Schizosaccharomyces pombe: one gene and its partner. The protein of the gene in region 1 interacts with the protein of each later gene in a pairwise test. Each region holds a gene or a part of one and is shown in the gene's direction. Other genes may lie near its edges.

Evidence for each region. Proteins that work in one complex are often made in the same cells at the same time.
Region 2: the proteins of spo2 (region 1) and atf21 interact in a two-hybrid assay, tested with the Schizosaccharomyces pombe proteins (one large-scale study listed by BioGRID).

What each region holds. Positions count from the first base shown.
Region 1 is NC_003423.3:4,320,843-4,324,573, reverse strand, and holds spo2 (protein Spo2), read left to right. Parts: upstream 1-1,951; coding exon 1,952-2,353; 3' UTR 2,354-2,550; downstream 2,551-3,731. Other genes in the region: vps1302 (lipid transfer protein), read left to right, coding at 1-1,745; SPOM_SPBC16C6.01C (lysine methyltransferase), read left to right, coding at 3,033-3,731.
Region 2 is NC_003423.3:1,720,448-1,725,236, forward strand, and holds atf21 (Atf-CREB family transcription factor Atf21), read left to right. Parts: upstream 1-2,565; coding exon 2,566-3,633; 3' UTR 3,634-4,003; downstream 4,004-4,789. Other genes in the region: mrpl35 (mitochondrial ribosomal protein subunit L35), read right to left, coding at 1-30; mRNA guanylyltransferase Ceg1, read left to right, coding at 4,400-4,789.

The sequences.
Region 1 (3,731 bases):
AATTACCCAGTCGAACAAATTCCAACGTGAAAGGCTCGATTGTCGAGCAGAAATTTAAGTTAGTTTTGCAGTTGAAGGGATTTGGAATTTCCTTAATTGACAAAAAATATGAGGAATTTGCATATGCTACTTTGAAGAATTTTACTTTTAGATTTGATGATAGTAAAGACCTTAATACTTTTGGAATGTCATTGGGATGGCTTCAAATTGACAATCAGATGTTGGATTCTGTATATCCAATTGCATTGTTTCCTACAATGATTACCCAAGAAGTCAAACAAGACGATCCCCAACTTTTACAGCTGCGATTTTCCGTCCTTAAAGATAGCAGTTTTAATATTCTATACATTAAGTATGCCTCTCTCCTTCTTCAAGAGCTATCGCTCGAAGTGGAGGATAGATTGGTTTTAACGTTGTTACAATTGCTTTATCCATCATCCGATGTTTCTAAAGATTCTGCAAGTCTCAGCAAGAACGCTTTTGCGGATAAGTTTGAAATACCAGATCTTGACGCGGATGTTTATCGCAGTAACGTATTTTTTGAGACTCTCCATTTACAACCAACCCGATTAAATATATCATTTGAAACTTCTTATGAATCGGATCAACCAGCTGTCAAATCTTCCAATCCCACATTAGATTTTATGACAGGTATACTGATTAGCACATTGGGTAATATTCATGATGCTCCCGTGCAACTGAATTCCATTCTTCTTGAAAATGCTCGTGGCACACTTTCCGAAATGGCAAACCGAGTGGCAAGTCATTATAAACAGCAGGTTGGTTACCAAATATACAAAATTGCCGGGAGAGCTGATTTTTTGGGAAACCCCGTTGGTTTGTTCAATAACGTTGCATCTGGTGTATTTGATATGTTTTATGAACCCTATCAGGGGTTTTTGTTACAAGATTCGCAATCATTCGGTGATTCATTTGCTCGTGGAACATCTAGTTTCATGCGTAAAACTATTTATGGTGTTTCAGATAGTGTATCAAAGATTACTGGGACGATTTCTAAAGGTCTTTCAACTATGACTATGGATCCAAAATATCAAAATTCTAGAAGACGGTTTCGTTCAAGAAATAGGCCAAAAGAAGCTGTATATGGCGTAACCGCTGGAGCTAACAGCTTTTACGACAGCATGTCTAGTGGATTCAAAGGTCTCAAAAAGCCATTTACGGATCCAAAAAACAACAGTGCTGGCAAATTTTTGAAGGGATTTGGCAAGGGTATGCTTGGTTTAGCTACCAAACCTGCTATAGGATTGCTTGATATGACCAGCAACGTGAGTGAAGGCATTCGTAACTCAACCGATGTTCGTACTAATCCTGAAATTGATAAAGTACGTGTGCCAAGATATGTTGAATTTGGAGGTCTAATTGTACCATTTAAACCCTACGAGTCGCTCGGAAAATATATGTTAAGTTGTTTGGATGACGGCAAATATGCCTTTGATGAATATCTTTACCATGCTGAAATTCAAAATGTCGACATTCTATATATCAGTACGAAGCATTTTATTATAACCGGAAGTAATTATATTGTTAAAATCGCTGTACCCGTGAAACAAATTAGTGGTTTGCGGGTATCTGAGCATGACTTGGTTTGTACGTTGTCTAACAAGTCAGTGAGATATTTACCTTTGCCAGCTTCGCAGGAGATGAGGCAAAACTGCATAAACGCTGCATTTACTGCTTATTCAGAACATTATAGATTGCGATTGAAGCAGATATCCCCACTTTAAATTATCAATTTTTTTTTATATTTTTGTTTACTTTTTAAACTATTGTATATTTTCTTCTATTCAATTGATATTGTTTAACTGAATAGAATTCTTCTTGTTTGTTTACATTTGCTGTGTTTTGGCAGCGGTGTGAATCCCTCTTTGACTGTGAGTATCTTTCCACACCAAACTTAGAATTGTTTGTGAAAGAGAAAAAAAAACCGATTATGAGCATAACGATGTCCGATTCTTCTGCTTACGGCGAGGAATTAATGCGTGAGCGATTTGAGCACTTGCTTAAAGCTTACGAAAAAATGGCTTTGATGGTAGCAGAACAAGAGGAGTTTAATGCTAAAATTGAGGACATGGCTTTGAAATTATTAAGTGAGAAATATGACAATGAGGCTTATCAAGCTGAACTGTTTTATCGCTTGTCTAATTGTGTGGAAAAAGTCCTGCACAATAAAATAAGTATCACTGATCTAAAGACTGAGTATGAGGAGATTCTTGAGCAAACGCTGAAGAAAGAATGCAAGGCTTATGAAAGATCTTGTATTGAGAATGTGAAATTAAAGAAAAGAACAGAACAAGCAACCGCATATTATGCTAGTTCCTCAAGCGAACCGTAAAAAATGGGACATATGAGTCGATGTAAATTTCTTCGAATTTATTAGTTATTAAGCATACTCAGTCTATGTGTATCTTTTCCTTCTAAAATTTGACATGACAATTTACGACGGATAGTGAATGGAAGTAATGTGCAAACTATGTCATATATTATTTTTAGTTTTTTACATCTCTCCATTACTGATGGAAGTATCTACTGTTTAATTATGAATGTTTTATAAATGAAATAATTTATTTGTATGAAAAAGCATTATTGCGAAAAGTCTGTACAACTCTTGGTAAAATTATCACCATGAAGAAGCTTTTTATATTTAAAGCGTTTGTTTATTACCCCTTTTCAATCGTATTCAATCATATTCTTATAGTAGTTTTTATATTTACGATCCATCCTGCATTGCCCTTCTGTATCGGACAGGTTGAAAACGCGTAGCGGATTAAAAATCAAGTTTGAACAGACTAATGTGCTTTATTAAACATAATTTGAGAAATTAATTATCTTCTGTTCTAAGATACGTTCAAGTTTTACTCAAAAAATCAATGTGTACATCAGAAGGTTGGAGTATTTACCTACGCTTAAAATCAAATTTGCTTTGAAAAGATATTAACTTTCAAATGTTCAAAATTGCCGGAAAGCGCATAAAAAATATTATTAACTACTTATTAAAACATGTTAAATAAAGCATGAACAATTCCAAGCAATTTTTGAAGTACCAACCCTTACTTGAATGGCTAGCAAAACACGAAGCTTACATTTCACCCAAACTGTATATCGCTTCAAGTGGGGTCGCAGGAGATGGTATATTTTCTACCTTTGATATAGATGAACTTGAAGTTTTAGCAAAGATTCCTAGAAGGATCATTCTGAGTCCTCGCAACTCAAGATTTGGAGATTCGTTGTATACACATTTTAATGAATCTAATCGGTCTGATGATATTAACTTTGACAATAGAGATCAGGTTGGGCTGGTCATGCTCGTTATAACTGTAATATTGGAAAATATAACAGATAGTCCGTGGAACGCTTATTTAAACACCTTGGACGAAACTTGTATGCCTGATTCCCCATTATTATGGAAAGATAAAACGTGTCTTGAGGGAACCTCAATGCTTGATGTAATAAATACAAATTTAAGAGTATACAAAAATCAATATGATCAATTGGTCCGCCCTTACTTTTATAAACATGCTGATCTCAAACAGCTTTGTCCAAAATGGAATCAGTATTTAGAGACTTGTGTTCTCGTCCAAAGCAGGTGTTTTTACGTTAACAGCTACTACGGTTTATCTTTAATACCCTTTTTCGATATTTTTAATCACAAGTCTGGTCCAGCTATTGCTTCGCTACATTGTCAGGAGTCAAATGATCATAAAGGCGATATC
Region 2 (4,789 bases), 2.6 Mb from region 1:
CGTAGGAATTCTAGGCCATACGCGTTTCATCCTTGCAATGGTAAAAGCTAAGTAATTAACGGTATGGATGTGTATAGGAATAGAATAACACAAGAGGGTATAGCGCAGTGTAAGGAATGCTAATGCACAGCTTTTTCGATATTTACGGTTATACAAAATAAAATTAGAAATGGAAACTGTGGATGTTAAACATGTTAATTGGAAAAGGTCAATCATACCGAGTCCCTTCAAGGTTATGACCAAAGTTTTAGTGGTAGGTTTAAGCAACAATTCTACTCCCGTAAGCTGCTTCTAATGGGAACTAGACTGTAGCAATAGCGTTCATGTTTAACCAAAAGCTACAAGTTATATGAAACGGTCATTTGCAAAAGTCAGTAAGTTTCAATGACTATAATGAAAATATATTGACTCGACGACACATAGTGAATCATGAGTCAGAGTCCGTATGAAGTAATATGTTCCTAATTTGACGGCTGCATTGAAAATTCAGCAATCGGAAGGAATGAATAAGAGAAAAATATTCAAAAGAAGTGAAATAGCTACGTGGGTTAATCAATAGTGTCTACGTCCAATTATTATCTGAGGTATACACATGCAACAATCACGGCATTTACATCTCAGTAAATTAAAATAAAGAAAAATAATATCATTAAATTAAGTCAAAAGGTTTAAAGGTGATATCCTATGAATTCGGGAAATTGCCAACTATATCTTAGATAGTCACATTTCTACCAAATTGACGTAGAGCTTAATTAAATATTCCAGATGTTGCTAAAGTATTCTCATATTGTCAACTGCGAAGTTCAACATCTTTCGATTTGCAGAACTGATTCAATCCAGTGGCTAACTCATGGTCGTATGTACGATCCGTTCTGTCTATTTTGATTTAATGTGACCAAAAGTTAAACTTCATCTCGTGTATAGTTAAAAGATATGATAGTATACATACTAAAAATGAGAATTCTGGCAAACCAGATTTAAATCAATAACATGTTACTCTTGCTTGCGACAATATAAGTAAATGTGGGCAAGAAAGATGAAGAAGTATTAGAAACAAGTTGCGGCTAAATTTTGAGAAAGGATTGATAGCGGAAAGGCTACTAATAGTAATGATATGAGCTATTATTATCAGTAACGATAAAGCCGTTTATGGTGGCGCGCGTAAGAGAACGACAAAATTTGAAGCCTAGGTAGTTTCATCAAAACCATTAAAGGAAATAAATATGAAAAAAGCTAGCAAGAGAGGCGATATTATATTTTCGCATTCACAACTTTACTATTGACGACTACGAATACCGAGGGATAGCGTTATTATCTCTCCACAAGTAATCGGCTATTTTTTGATTGGTTTAAATAAAAGTAAATCCTGATTATATTTGACATAATCTGCATCAAATAGAACTCTAGATTTTCCTTTCCGAATATGGTGGCCAATTAACGGTACGACTGTGATGTAAATATTACACAGTGGAGCGACACGTGAATGTAGTCCCCTTCGGTTAGCTCCTTAAAATGGAGGCCTTAAAGGATAATACTGCTTGACTTTTTTAGCATAGTGCCTTTGTTAATTGCAACAAATCCCTTCAAACAAAAAAAAAATAAATTTTTATAAAGAAAAACTTTTTATTTCTATACGGCAAGTTCATCTCATAAAGTAAACAAATCATTTCCCGATTGGCTACCCTAGCCCTTCGTTTGTTTGTTTTGCAGTGACGTCAAAATTCATCTCACCCGATCAACATATATAAACATTGCGACACAAACCAAAAAGTTACCGACTGCAGCATCATATTTCTCAGCAGAAACGTATTCTTATAGTAATCCAAGTCCAAAATTAAGGAATTGGTATCTTAAACCACCTTAGTACATAGTTCTCTATTGTTTATAAGCCTCTTTACTTGCCAGGGACGCAGTAAGACATTGCTTCCTTCACCACCTTCATTATCCTTTACCTTCTTTCTCTGTCCACCTTATATATATATACTTATTTTCCCAGGAATCCTCACTTTTGCCATTAATCCATTCCATCCTTCTGTAGAACGACGAATTGTCATCCCTTCCTTTATCGTTCGTTCATTTCCTAAAACCGGGACACTACTGCATGCTTAAAACAGAGGAAAAATAAAGAGAGAACACATTTATATAATTGAAAGAAACTTTTCCATTGATAGCTCCTAAGTTTCAAATCACCAACTTGTCGGTTTATACATTCTTCATTTTCTTTTATTTACTTTTTTGAAGAAGTTCACAGGGATCACTATTCAGAAATTTTATACAAAGATATTGCATCCTTATTCATCAATCCAAATTTGCGTCACTTGATCGACCACAATTTGCTTCATCTTCCCTTCCCAATTTGTTTCGCCAGCACCTGAATAACATAGCCTCTTTTTAAGATTTAACCTTCTTCAAGAAATCACTACATATTCGCACTACTAACAAAAAAGAAACTTTCGCTTTTTATTTAGTCCGTTCTTGTATCAACTATCTTCATCGGCTTTACCGTCGAAACCATTTCAACCGCACTCAATAGAAAATTAACTTGCTCATCATCAATCTTCCATCATGGATTTCGCAAATGTGTATCTCGGGTTAGATACACTAGGTAATGAAGGATATGGTGCTAGCGTCAGTAATGGCACTCACCATGATTTTCATTTTAACTTCAATACATTCCGCGATGGTGGTAACCATGAAGTTGGAGAAAAACGCGCTGAATCTAGCGATATCGGAGTATATGAATGTAGAGGTCCAGTCCAGGGACCTAAAGATCAAACATCCTTTCCCTCGAATTCACATAATAACTACGCTTCAATAGTAGGTGATGCTAGCATTGGACATTACCTCAAAGGACCCGAGCGTACTTCAGAGGTATCATTACCTCAAACGGTAAACCTTTCGGAGATTTCTAACAATAATGACAAAGGCCAGCCTACAAATACTCCTCCTGTACGCTCAACAATTGTTGCACCTTCATTATACTCTGAAGGTAGTACTTTGAATCATTATAATAATGGATCTCATCAAGTGCTTCATCCACAATTCCAAAATGGAACCAACGCCCCATACGTAGTGCAGTCAAATCTTATGCAAAACAATGTTAATCTAACAGGAGCGGAACAAGAAAAAGGTTTGGACCTATATAAGAATTCCGCTACTGCGAATAACGATGAGATTTTCTATAATCTTGAATCCTTACGTAGAGAAGGATACTTAAACTCCAACAAGAAGCAGTCTCAATCTCCAAATGGAGACTACAACAGCAGCGATGAGTCCTGTTCCAATAAAACCGTCGCCTCCAGTCAACGACGGGGTACACCTGGCAGTAACAATGTTCATACCGCTAGTAACAATGAAACTCCTGATATGAAGAGGAGGCGGTTTTTAGAGAGAAATCGAATAGCCGCATCGAAATGCCGCCAAAAGAAAAAGCTTTGGACACAGAATCTCGAAAAAACAGCACATATCGCATGTGAGCAGTCGAAAGCTCTAAGGATTTTAGTCAGCCAACTACGTGAAGAAGTAATTTGTTTGAAGAATCAACTATTAGCTCATCAAGATTGCAATTGCGAAGGAATTCGACAATATCTTTCTTCAGAGGCTCAAGGAATTATGTCCTTTCAGAAACATTGAGCAAATGACACCCCATTGAATCAAGTTTCGTAACATTTTTTTATTATACTGTATATGCATTTCTGAGAGCCTGGATAGAATCTTGCAATAGGAGATGCTTAAAAGACGGCCAGTGCTGCTCTACTGCTTGTCTATAGTAATTGTACTTTAACTCTGGCATATTTTATTTTTCTTTTTTCACAATACTATTATTTTCTTCGCGTCACTGTGTTCATGGGATTTGCAATCTCACTCCAAACTCGTTTCATTCAATTGCTTGGGTTTTTCATTCATGTTTCTTCATTAAAAGTGTTTATGTTTCGAAGATCCTTTACGCACGTTTCATTTCCAGATTAATAATTACTGTAATGATATATCTTCCCTATATGTATTTTTTTAATAGGTTACGATTGCTTTACGAACTTGACCTAGATGAGCCAAATCTGTAATCACTGCCATATAATCTGTACCTCGTTCACAGACATGTCATTTTATCTTCAGTACGACACCACAGTTACATATATTGTTTGCTTTGGAATAAAAAAAAAATTAAGTAATAGAATAACACTTTCTGAAGTAAATGGTAGAAAAGATAACAGTATTCGTAGAGCAGCTATAATTATATGCATTTTTGCGTTTTGCAGCAAAAGATCACTATACTGCATAAGGAATTTTTATACAAACCATGTGTCTTTATTTAGTACATTAAGACTATATCCCGTTTCTACTCCTTCAGAAAGTGCTTAAGCCCTCTCTTAGCAAAGAAACGAGTGTATTATTAAAAGGAATGGCACCCTCAGAGAAAGACATTGAAGAGGTATCAGTCCCTGGAGTTTTAGCACCGCGCGACGATGTGAGGGTTTTAAAGACACGAATTGCCAAATTATTAGGAACAAGTCCTGATACATTTCCTGGATCACAGCCAGTTTCTTTTTCAAAGAAACATTTACAAGCATTAAAAGAAAAGAACTATTTCGTATGTGAAAAAAGTGATGGAATTCGTTGTTTACTTTATATGACCGAGCATCCTCGGTACGAAAATCGACCCAGTGTATATTTATTTGATCGTAAAATGAATTTTTATCATGTTGAGAAAATTTTTTATCCAGTTGAAAATGACAAATCTGGAAAAAAATATCATGTTGATACACTTTTGGACGGTGAGTTGGTTTTAGAT